Linked DNA regions of Caenorhabditis elegans. The protein of the gene in region 1 interacts with the protein of each later gene in a pairwise test. Each region holds a gene or a part of one and is shown in the gene's direction. Other genes may lie near its edges. The genes, in order: spdl-1 and frm-2.

Region 1 (4,105 bases):
CCTGGGCGATGTCACCAAACGTTCTTGCGGTAAGATGTTTGAAGTTTTCTGCAAAAGTTGAACGCTGACTTTTGAAAAAAAAAAACATATTTTCGTGTAATAAATGTACCTTCCATGTTTGGATCAAGATGCCTTCTTTGTCTAGTGTGTTTTAGTCCTTCAGCATATGCTTTACTTCTCAAAGTTGATCTGCTTGAACCAGCTGTTTCCTCTGGAGCGCTACTAATTTCTGGATTTGTTGGAGAACTTTCGAACTGTTCTTTATATTTTTCGACAATGCCCTTGATTTCGTGTAATGGTGATTTGAGCCCCGTTAGAGTATCACTTAGTCCAAGTTTTTGCTTAGCCTCTGTGTAAACTCCGTGAATAAATGATAATTCCGTCATAATATCAGAACTGAGCATTTTCGTAACACTGGAAAACGGCTCCTGAAACTGTTTATGAAAAAATTCCAATAATTTAACTTACTTACAACTGGAATTTTGTTAAAATAGGGCAACTCTTCCTCGGCAAGGTATTTTTTGTGGGTTGCCGGATCATATGTCGACTGAAACACTTTAATTCTAAACGCTTTCTTCAGAATAAGCATTTTGAGAGCCGCAATTGGTTCAAGAAGTTTTTCGACTTCTAAAGATTTTTGAAATTCGAGAAGCTCTTCGAATTGTACCGCAGTGACCGGAATCTGAATTAAATTTTTTAAAACTAAATTAAACTTAGAATTAATCACCTGACAGACATGATCAACTGGCTGCAAATTGTACAACGCATAGCAAACATAAACTCCGAATAGCCTCTCCTGAAAATATAACATTTCAGACTTATTTTTACTTCTATTTCAAACCTTGAATGCCCTGAATGCTCCAACTTCATTCACTTTTCCGAAATACATTGCTGCGTGTTGTAACAGGTATTCAGTAAACTGAAAGCCGGAATATTATAATAGACTAAATAAAATCAAAATAAAGCTACCTCTAAGCATTCGGCAGGATTTAATCGATAATGAAGAATGGTCTCAAAATGCATATCCCGAAAAACATCAGCAAAGTCTCGAATTCTTAATTAATCAAGATTTTCCATCAAATAATACATTTTCTAACTATACCTGTTGGATCCCATAGATATAAACTTGTTGCACAATAAATGAAGATCTTGTTTAACTCCAGTTCCCATAAATGGCGTGGGAATACCTCCAGAAGCCATTGCGACTCGTTTTTTCCTTGAATCTTCAGAAATAAATCCGAAAATAATTGACGAAAATAAAAACATGCAAGTGCGCTCTATCGTGAACAACCAATTCTCGGCGGGAACCAGCGGTATTCAACGCATTTCAAAATGAGTTGCGCCTCAATTTACCTAAAAATATTGTTTTTCAATCGTTTTGATATAATTTAGCTCAAAATATTCCCATAAAATTAGTTTAAATATATTCGCAATCAATTTTACGCTTTATTAAAACATCAAAAGCTATAGATCTGCGTGAAACGTTCTTATAAATCGTGTTGCCGTGAAAAATATTCTACTGATCGTTTTCTATCGAAACATTTTCATGTTTTCAGAAGAATCGAACTTCAATCAGTATGCCTGACGACGAGGAGAAGCTCCAATTACTTGCTGTAACGTTTTATCATTTCATCTATTACCAACTAAACCTAATATTTCAGGACGTTGAGAGGCTCAAGAAAATTCTCCGTCAAAAAGATGAAATGCTCGAGGAGATGGAAGACGATCTCAAAAATCAGGGAAAACCTTGTTCTTCCAAACTTTCACTCGAAGAACGTGCACAAGAATTGAGTGAACAACTTCGCGATCTTCATGTTGAGATGGACGGAAAAAACGCCACAATTCTTGATCGGGACGCTCTCATCGATTCACTGCGTAGTGAGATCGACAAACTCGAAAAAATTGTAGGTTTTCATCATTGTGGGCAACATTAATATATTGAATTCTCAGAATAAGGAGTTTGCCAACGGATCAGTGATTCCCGAACATGATGATTCCAATTCCTTCGGAGAATCTGAAATGCTTCGTATTAGCGAAGATTGTCAGAAATACAAAGAGACGGCGACTGCTCTTTACGAACGAAACGCCGAACTCGAAAAAGAAGCGGTCAACTTGAAAGATGAAATTGAGTCGATGATGGATCATATTCGGGACCTCAAAAATCATATGGAGACGCGTGATGAGGAAATTGCCAGATTGGAAGGAGAGCTTTTTGATGAGAGAAACTCCCATGAAGGAAAATTAGCGGCACGCGGAAATTCAATGTTTTCTGAGGTAGGTTAAAAAATATCAATTAACTGCATTTTTTTTAATATTCTTCAGGTTATTGATGCCGAGCGGAAGGTTGAAGAAGACCTGAAAGTTCTTCATGGAGAGAATCGAGCACTGAAAGGGATGGTAAAACGTCTTCGAATGGAAGTAGAAGAAGTCGAAGAAAGACTTCGGTCATCCACAAAAAGATTCAACGTTACCCGAATGACCACAAGTGATATTGATGTCAAAGAGATGCGTCGTCTCAGAGACAGAGTTTGTCACCTGGAAACGGAAAGGGTTCATTTGTGGGAAAGAATGTTCATTAAAATGAGGTCAATTCCAAAACGCGAAGTGGGAGCGTTGATTACCGGCTACTTCAAGTCGTTCGAATTGTCAATTGCGAGCGTGAAAGGAGGTTTTGACGGTTTGATGAAGGACAACGAAAAGTACGTGACAATTATTCGTGGATTGCAACAGGAAGTAGAAAATCTCAAAGCGGACATTGTGCAACTACAATTCGACAATAAATGTGCTCACAGAAAAGCTGCACCAGTTGTCAATAAGGATTTCGAGCACCCGCTTCTTGCTGCTCCTCTGAAAACTCTTAACAATGGACGACCATCATTCTTCATTAAACCGAAAAACGTGGAACCCATGCCTCAATTAGGGCATTCATTATCCAGTATTGCCGTTACGCCACAGGTAGATAAAAGTGCAACTTTTCACTATAAATAATTATTTTTCCAGAAACCAGCAGCTAAATTCACCACTCGTTCCTCCATCAAAGATGATACTTCAGAATGGGCAGAACGTCGTATGAAAGCTCAAGCTGAAAAGAAATTGGCGACTCCGACGCCGCGTTACAACTATATCAAACTGTCCGAGCCCGTTCCAAAATTCAAACCGGCTGTTCTTCAAATGCCATCAACCTCAGAAACAAAGGAAAACTGAGTAAACATCATGTTCGTAGTCATCTCGTATTCATATAAAACCGCCTGTATTGATCTCGTCCCCTCTATTCACCAAGTTTTGTCGATTATTCTACAATGTTTCCTATTTAATGCATGTCAAATAAAATTATTTTTATTATAACGCTCATTCTTAGATTGTTGATGTTCAAGAACTTGATAGAGCCGCTGGCGGGAGTGCAGTGGAGCGCGAAACCCTATCGATATTACACGATCACTTATTGATTTATATATTTTTAATATTTATTATTGTAAATATGGGGTAGAATATAGAAAAATATTTTCCAGATTTTCTCTTCCCTACAATCTTCGGAGATCTCGTATGGATATGCTTTCGATATAGGTTCAGTTCTTACTACTAGTAACATTTGAGAGAGCTTAAAATTTAAAAATTGTAAACCGTTCGAATTTGTTCTGGTGTGGGGTTCGCATGATATTGATCGTTTTTAATATTTACGATGATTTTTTGTGTTGTGCGAGGGTGTTTTAAAATTTGAATTTGCCGCCGAATGAAGTAGAACAAGAACGCAAATGCGCTCTGTGGCGAATGGTGTTCGACAAAAAGTTTTTAAGATCATTTTCTCAGCAAAATTTCGTTTCCTTTCTAATTTTTCCATTTCAGACATCACATTTCGTCCGGAAAGCAGATGCCGAAGAAGAACAATACAAAACGAGCACCACCAAGGTATTTTTATAACATTTTGATAAAAATAATTATCTAATATTTCGTTTAGTGTACCAAAGCCGTCCGGTCCGCCACCTCGATTACTTCAACTGACATCCTCAGATGGACATTTGTTGCAGGGAGACATCCGGGCCCTCCTCCTCTCAAGTACACTTGCTGCAACCATCAGAGAGCTAGGATATGACAAGGAATACTGTGC
Region 2 (7,172 bases), on another chromosome or scaffold:
AACTATTTCTTTTCTTGACACAGAGTTTCTATTCACTTTTTATTCCTGCGTCTCTACGCGTTTCAATTCTATCTCCTCTCACTCCAAAACTTATTTACCATTTGTTTTCACAGTCATCACTTCCTCAACCCACTCGAATAACATTTGTAATTCTCGCGCACAGTCCCATCCCACTTATTCTTTTCATTTTCGAGGGTCCCATTTCTGTCTAAATCTCTCCACTTCATATACTATTCTCGCATATCCTACCTCCAACTTCTCCACACAGCCGCCTGTCTCTACAACCTTTTCCATCTGTCTTTTCCGCTTTACAAGGCCATTTTTTGACTGATCCATCTCTAAACTCTCCTAGAATCACATGATATCTCGGAGGTGTGGACGTTCCTCTTGATTCGATTAACTCGGCCAAGTTCGTCTTAAGTTATTCTTTTATGATATATCTATTCATTTTTTATTTATTCTCCGAGAAAAAGTTGGATTTTGGTTTTAAATATTTAGCACGAAAATCGAAATTTGGATAACAAATTTCGAATTTCCAAACATCAAAGTTTCTCTACTAGTTAATGCAGGACTAGGAAAAACTAGATTTTTCATTAAAAAAGCAATTGTGATATTAGATTTTTTTCACTTTTCTTGTTTTTACCTAGAAAAAAAATGGGGTTAAAGCTTGTTTTCAAAATTTTCAGCCACTTTTTTAAACTTCCTAATCTAAAGGAATGATTTGAAACTTGTTTTTATAATAACGAATTGTTTATTAGTATTGTTGTACTTTAGTTTAAGTATGATGTACCAATTTGAATAATTGTTGAATCAAACATTTTCACTTTTTCAGTAATTGTATCTATGTACATAAAAATTTTAAAATTAATACTCTATTCAAATGATTTTTTTCAAATTCCAGTTCGTATTTGTAAATTTCCAAATTCTGGAAGATTCGTTCGACCTTTTTTCTAATGTTCTTCTATCTAAAATAAATTGGGATATTAGTATCAATCTTCTCATTTTTTATTATTTTCCTTTTTCAGTTCATGAAACACATACCCCTCCAAATATTTCACAATATGTATTTTTTGTTATTATTTCAGCCGTTTTGCATCGTTCTATTTATTCAACTGATTCTTCTTTTTCCAACTAACCAATTGTCAATCTTGCAGAAAAAACGAACGATATCCGGTGAGCAGCGGCTCGCTGAGCACCTATTTTTTAGAAACATCTGAAAAAGATCAGAGATTGGACTGTAAAAGTAAGTTTTGTTTCGGGTGTATAACCTCATATTTTCGAAAAATTTGAAATTACAATTCCCAATAAAAGTAAGGTTTTTCGAAATTTTCTTTTAAATTATTAATTAACAAAAAAAGTGACAATTATGTACTTTTGTCCAACTATTAATATATCTTAAATATGTTTTATTTGTATTTGAACATTTTGGGGTTAGAACATGCAGCAATGCTCAAAAACTTGTCAACAATTTTTTTTTTCAATTTGACAATTTACCAAAGCTTTTTTTCAATCCCTAGAAGATTCTCGAGATGACCTCCAAGCGAGTCATTTCTTCCTTATTTCTATCAATAGTCATCAGTCATCACTTGCGATTATATCACCCCTTTTCCTCGCTTATCATCTTATCAACACACTCGGTTCACTCAAAATATCAACAGCTTTTAGGACACTTTTCCTCAAAAAATCGACACCCCGTATGTAATACAAATACACACAAAACACGTCGTAACATAAAATTCTGAATCTGAAAATAGGAAAGTAGGTGGAGAAAGGGTACATTAAAAGCAGAAGAAGAATCGAACGAAAAGAAAAAGAGTGATAAGAATAAGAGAAGGGACACACAACACTCCGAGTGTTGCAGCTGATTATCAGTTGTGTCCATTCTTCGTTTTTCACCCTCGAAGAGTCAAACGGCCATTCGACTTTATTTTGAAATTCTAAGTTTTTAACAGAAATTCTTTATTATGTCAAGTGACGAGGAAGATGAGAACTCTCAAAGAGAGCCAAAAGATGTGAGTTTTCGGTTGAATCTAATGCAACTTACCGTCTACCGATTCACCAACTGAATACATCTATGTTTATTTGAGTTGGAAAACTGTCATCTTTAAGCCTACATGCCTGCCTACCACCTATTAAAAGCTTTTTGGCGTGAACATCAGTGTTTGATGCTGCAAAATATAGACTTGAGCACATTAAAATCATGAAGATGTAACATGCAAGCATAAAATATGATTCAAGTAACATTTTGTATGCTCATTGGGTGAGCACACAAAATGGAAAATTGACACAATTGTAGTAAGGTCAGTCGTGCAACATTTAATTGCAAGATTACAACTGCATAGAAAATGCAATTTGAAAAGAGAACTTCAAAAATTCTGTAAGACAGCCAATGTACCGACGCAATAAATCTTATTTTGGTGCAAATGTGTTTTTATAAACCTGTGCCATTTCAAATTTAGCTGTGTCCCTAAGCTTCATTTTGCTCTCTGTATTCTCTTTCGGTGCTCTTTCCAAAAGCTCCACATCTGGTACCTATTGCTCCAAATGAACTCTTTTGCTGACCCTGATGTGCAACAGATGCTTTGCGCGCACACACATGTTACTTTTTTCCAATTCATTTGATTCGGTCGGACACTCACTTTTAGATATTCCCATATACCATTCCCAACAACGACAAAATATAGATAAACATTGATCAAACCTCAAGTTAATTTACGCATCTCTTTGTCTGCGTCTCTACATCTTTCTCGATCTCTTCATCTTTATTTACGTTTGCTCTTCATCTCTGTTCAAAACCGTAACCGGCCAAAAGAGGGAAGAGCAGAGAGATAGAGTGGTTTATAGTGAGACGCAGACATCGGTGCACCGGGCAACCAGCCGGCTCGCCATAAATCGTCGAATTCTATTGATTGACTTTTATTGTATTTCTATTATAAAAAGTTGAATTTCAGAATTGTTTTGTGTTTTACTTTTTACTATGAAGTTATTGCAAGAGCTGATTTGGTAAGAGCCCTCTTACTATTTTTTTTTCAAAAATATGAATTTCGAAACACTAATAAAGTTCATTTCTGATTCGTTTTTGATATAATCATTAGCTTCATTGACGTTTTGGAGTACTGCTCAAAAAATATAGCTCCTAACAAGTGTAACTCTAAAAATTTGGGTTGTGTAAAGTTTTGGTTTTTTTTGAATTTTTTTAATGTGCAAAATTAATCTCTCAATTTTGAAAGTAAAACAAAAACTAAAAGATTTTTTTAAAATTGAAAATATTTTTTGTTTATGAAATATTTTTAAATTAAAATGTTAACCTCTAAAAATACTAATCAACAGTTTCAATTTTTAAAAAAGTCCAGAGCTGTGTGCCAAACAAATCCAGAAGTTGGTTTAAACTCTTAGAAACTCTTTGGTTATTTTCAGATGTCCTGGATGTTGCGAAGTCTATCAGCCAGATTCTCACGGAATCGTCAACAGCAACAGAAGTCACAAACACAGGATGCAAGCTTTGATACGAAAAAGTTTGTTCAGTGCAAGGTGCTTCTGCTTGATGGAGCACATTTAAATATTGTCGTGCCGGTGAGTGGTCTTTTTATTTTTGAAAATAACTGTTATTAAATGTCGGTTCTTGTAGAACTATTTTGGCAAATTAGTGCCTGAAATTCAAAGAAAAATGGAGTCAAAAATCATAGATAAACCTATTGCGAATAAAAAAAGTGGCAAAATGTGTTGCATATGCAGATTAATTATTTTTTAAAAAGTTTTTATAATTCTCGAACATCCATTCTAGTATCTCAAAATATAAATTTTCAGAGAAACGCTGTAGGAAGTGAACTTTACGAAGAAGTATTCTACTCGCTTGACCTAGAAGAGAGGGACTATTTTGGCCTGCAGTACACAGATCCATTCAATGTTCAGGTATTCATTTAATTATTTCTTTATTTTATTTTTTCAAACCTTTTTATATTTCCAGCACTGGCTAGACCCTACAAAAAAAGTTGCAAAACAAGTGGCAATTGGACCTCCATTTACTCTTCGGTTTCGTGTTAAATTCTTTACTTCGGAACCTTCTAGCAATTTGAAAGAAGAGCTTACAAGGTATACTTAATCAGTAATGTATTTTTTTAAAATAAATTTCTGCAGGTATCAATTCTTTTTGCAAATAAAACAAGATATCTCCTCAGGACGTCTGCAATGTCCACATCAGTTAGCAATTGAACTAGCTGCTTTTGCACTTCAATGTGAGTTTTTTTTCAATTCTAAAAAAATTAAGCATTTTAAACATAAAAAATTTCAGCAGAACTAGGCGATTACAACCCAGAACTTCATACAGCCCTCTTTATCTCAGAATTTCGATTTCATCCGGAGCAAGATGAAAAAATGGAAGTCGAGATATTGGAGAGGTACAAAGCGTGCCGGTAAGTTTTTTTGTTATAAAATTAAAAAAAAGATTGTTAGAAAACTTTACAGCACATGTAAAATATAGTCTAAAAATTTAAAAACTGGAAAACCTTTTAGAGTTTGATATTACTTTCCCGAAAATGTCAATTTTTGAAATGCATTATATTGTTCTGGTATTTGCCAGAAATCAATATTCTAATCAGTGTGAAACCCGGGATTTTCTGCTGGATCAAATTAGAGGACACCTGAAAGTTGAGAGAAACTTGGTTAGACGTAAATATTTCAATCAGGAAATTGACTATTTGAGAATCAAAACTACATAGATACAATTTTAAATTTGATAACAAATGTTTGATAATTTCAATCTTAAAGAACAAAAAATACACTTATTTGAAAATTGCAGTATTTGCCTAAGTTTCAAATAAAAACATTTCGGACAGAAAAAAATTACCTAATTGGTTTTATTTTCAATTTCATGCTTCTCAATCTAAAAACTAAAATAACATTTTTCAGTGGACAAACTCCGGCTCAAGCGGAGTTGAACTACTTGAATAAGGCACGATGGATTGAAATGTACGGAGTAGATATGCATATTGTAGAAGGAAAAGATGGAAATACATATCGATTGGGTTTAACTCCACAAGGAATGCTGGTATTTGATGGTCCACAGAAAATTGGACTCTTTTTATGGGAAAAACTACAAAAATTGGATTTCAAAAATAAGAAAATTACACTGGTTGTCGAGGAGGATGCTGATCAATCGGTGAGTTTTTTTAATGAAAAGTTTAATGAAGATTAGAGTAGCAGTTTTGTACAATTTATTAATTGAAAAAAATGTGCAAAATAACTTTAAAAATAGTAACTTTTTCAGAACAATGGCCAAATCCAGCTGCACACGTTCGTTTTTCACTTGACGTCTGAAAAAGCGGCAAAACATTTCTGGAAATGTGCCATCGAGCAACACGCATTTTTCCGCCTCAAATCTCGCCCAATCCAAGCGAATCGCAAAATTCAGTTCTTCCGGTTAGGAAGCACATTTAAGTATAGAGGCAGGACAGAATATGAAACAATTCATAAGGAAGGAGCAAGATTATCACGAAGACAATCATGCTCATTTGAAAGAAGACCTAGTCAGAGATATGGTCCACGGCAAAGTCATGTGACAAATGCACAAATTAGGGATGCAAAGAGAGCTGAAATGAGGCAACAGGTACATTTCACGCTAAAAATTCAACAAAAATTGGAGTAATTATTTAGAGTTTATTTTTCGATTCATGAAACATTTGGCATCGATCTAACGTTCAATTTTAAATTTTGCTCACTAGTCAGTTCAAAAGGTTTAACCTATCATTTTTGGAAAGTCGGATACAATTTTTTAAAAAACTTAAAAATTTTTTAATTTCTGAATTAGCTTAAACTCAAAAATGCAAACAAACTTTTTTCCAGATAATTGAGCAACAAAGAGCCAATGATCAACAGCGAACCCATGCAAAATCAGATCCAACTTCTCCACATTCAATAATTCAAAACGTTCCATTACCAACATCTCCAGACCTCAAAAAACCAGTAAACAACAGTAATCCATTTATTTCGGATCCTTTAACACCTTCATCATCATCATCATCATCCTCTCATAATCTGTCACATGTAACTAAAATAACAGTTGGAACAATTGGAAATCTCGATACTCCATCATCTTCTGCTGCCCCATCTTCATATATTCCACGTCCAGTTGTCTCAACATCCACATCATTCTCACATCCGCCACCACTTCCAGCTCATCAGTCAAATTCGAAAATTCCCAGAATGAGCAGTGCATCGGAGCAGCGGAAGAGCTCACAACCTCCACAACCAGCTGTTCGAATGCAGACTCAATTTGAAGTAAGTTAAATTTATTGATGGACAGTATGTTTTCAAATACTCCATAAACTTTCCAGGAGCCACGAAAATATTCACAAAATGGATGTGCTCCGCCATCTCGTATTGTTCCCCCAATGCAACATCAACGGAGAATTGTCACAGACTTTTGATAATGTATTTACATTTGCAGCCTTTATTTTGTTGTTTTCAGTCATTTTTCATATAATGAAATGATTTTCTTTCTTATAACATTTTCAGATAATTTCTAATCGCACTTTATAAAATGATACAAAAATTTCGTATTTTCTCGAAAAACCCAAAAACTCCGGCTCCTGCCTGAAAAGTGCTAGAGTCTTCTAATCTGGTCACTCTTTTCATTCCACGTGTGTCTATTTGCACCGGCTCGAGTGCAATCGGGATATTCCCCTCTGAAATCCAGTCCCTCCATCCTGTTTTCTCTCACTCATTTTTTCACTTTTTTGCATTTTTTCCACCAGAGAAACTATTTGTCTTCATTCTCCTTCCTTTCCTCCTCCAACAAAATCTTATGCTCTCCCGCCACCCCCACTCACTACACAAACACTGACGATCGTTTTGAGCACAGCCAATTTCTTTCCGATTTTCGATCAATTCAGACTGTGTTCTGTGTAAGTACTTTGCCCTCCTTCCCTTCACTGGACTTCATCTGAAGCCACCACTTCCACACGTTATCCTGAATTTGAATGTGGAATGTTTGGAAAAGTGATGATGATTGTATGATAACTATCGAGAGACGTAGACATAGAGATATCTCCGATCCACTAATTGGAACCAGAGACTGACTGACTGACCCCCCTCATCAACTCTCTTCACTTCACCACACCTCCCGATTTTTATTACATTTTTGTGTGACCTCCCTCCCGGGCGCTAGTACACTT

What was found.
Region 2: the proteins of spdl-1 (region 1) and frm-2 interact in a two-hybrid assay, tested with the Caenorhabditis elegans proteins (one study listed by BioGRID).

What each region holds. Positions count from the first base shown.
Region 1 is NC_003280.10:7,780,010-7,784,114, forward strand, and holds spdl-1 (Spindly-like protein spdl-1), read left to right. Parts: upstream 1-1,556; 5' UTR 1,557-1,577; coding exon 1,578-1,613; intron 1,614-1,661; coding exon 1,662-1,904; intron 1,905-1,950; coding exon 1,951-2,274; intron 2,275-2,322; coding exon 2,323-2,955; intron 2,956-3,000; coding exon 3,001-3,204; 3' UTR 3,205-3,342; downstream 3,343-4,105. Other genes in the region: snpc-1.1 (snRNA-activating protein complex subunit 1), read right to left, coding at 1-48, 110-428, 473-682, 728-796, 842-919, 970-1,054, 1,103-1,200; skr-17 (Skp1-related protein), read left to right, coding at 3,869-3,906, 3,956-4,105. UniProt on the Caenorhabditis elegans protein: Transient kinetochore component required for chromosome and spindle pole alignment and chromosome segregation during mitosis.
Region 2 is NC_003281.10:5,976,109-5,983,280, reverse strand, and holds frm-2 (Moesin/ezrin/radixin homolog 1), read left to right. Parts: upstream 1-1,964; coding exon 1,965-2,012; intron 2,013-2,761; exon of another isoform or gene 2,762-2,897; intron 2,898-3,417; coding exon 3,418-3,573; intron 3,574-3,807; coding exon 3,808-3,912; intron 3,913-3,967; coding exon 3,968-4,092; intron 4,093-4,137; coding exon 4,138-4,235; intron 4,236-4,291; coding exon 4,292-4,412; intron 4,413-4,908; coding exon 4,909-5,158; intron 5,159-5,266; coding exon 5,267-5,605; intron 5,606-5,841; coding exon 5,842-6,276; intron 6,277-6,332; coding exon 6,333-6,425; downstream 6,426-7,172.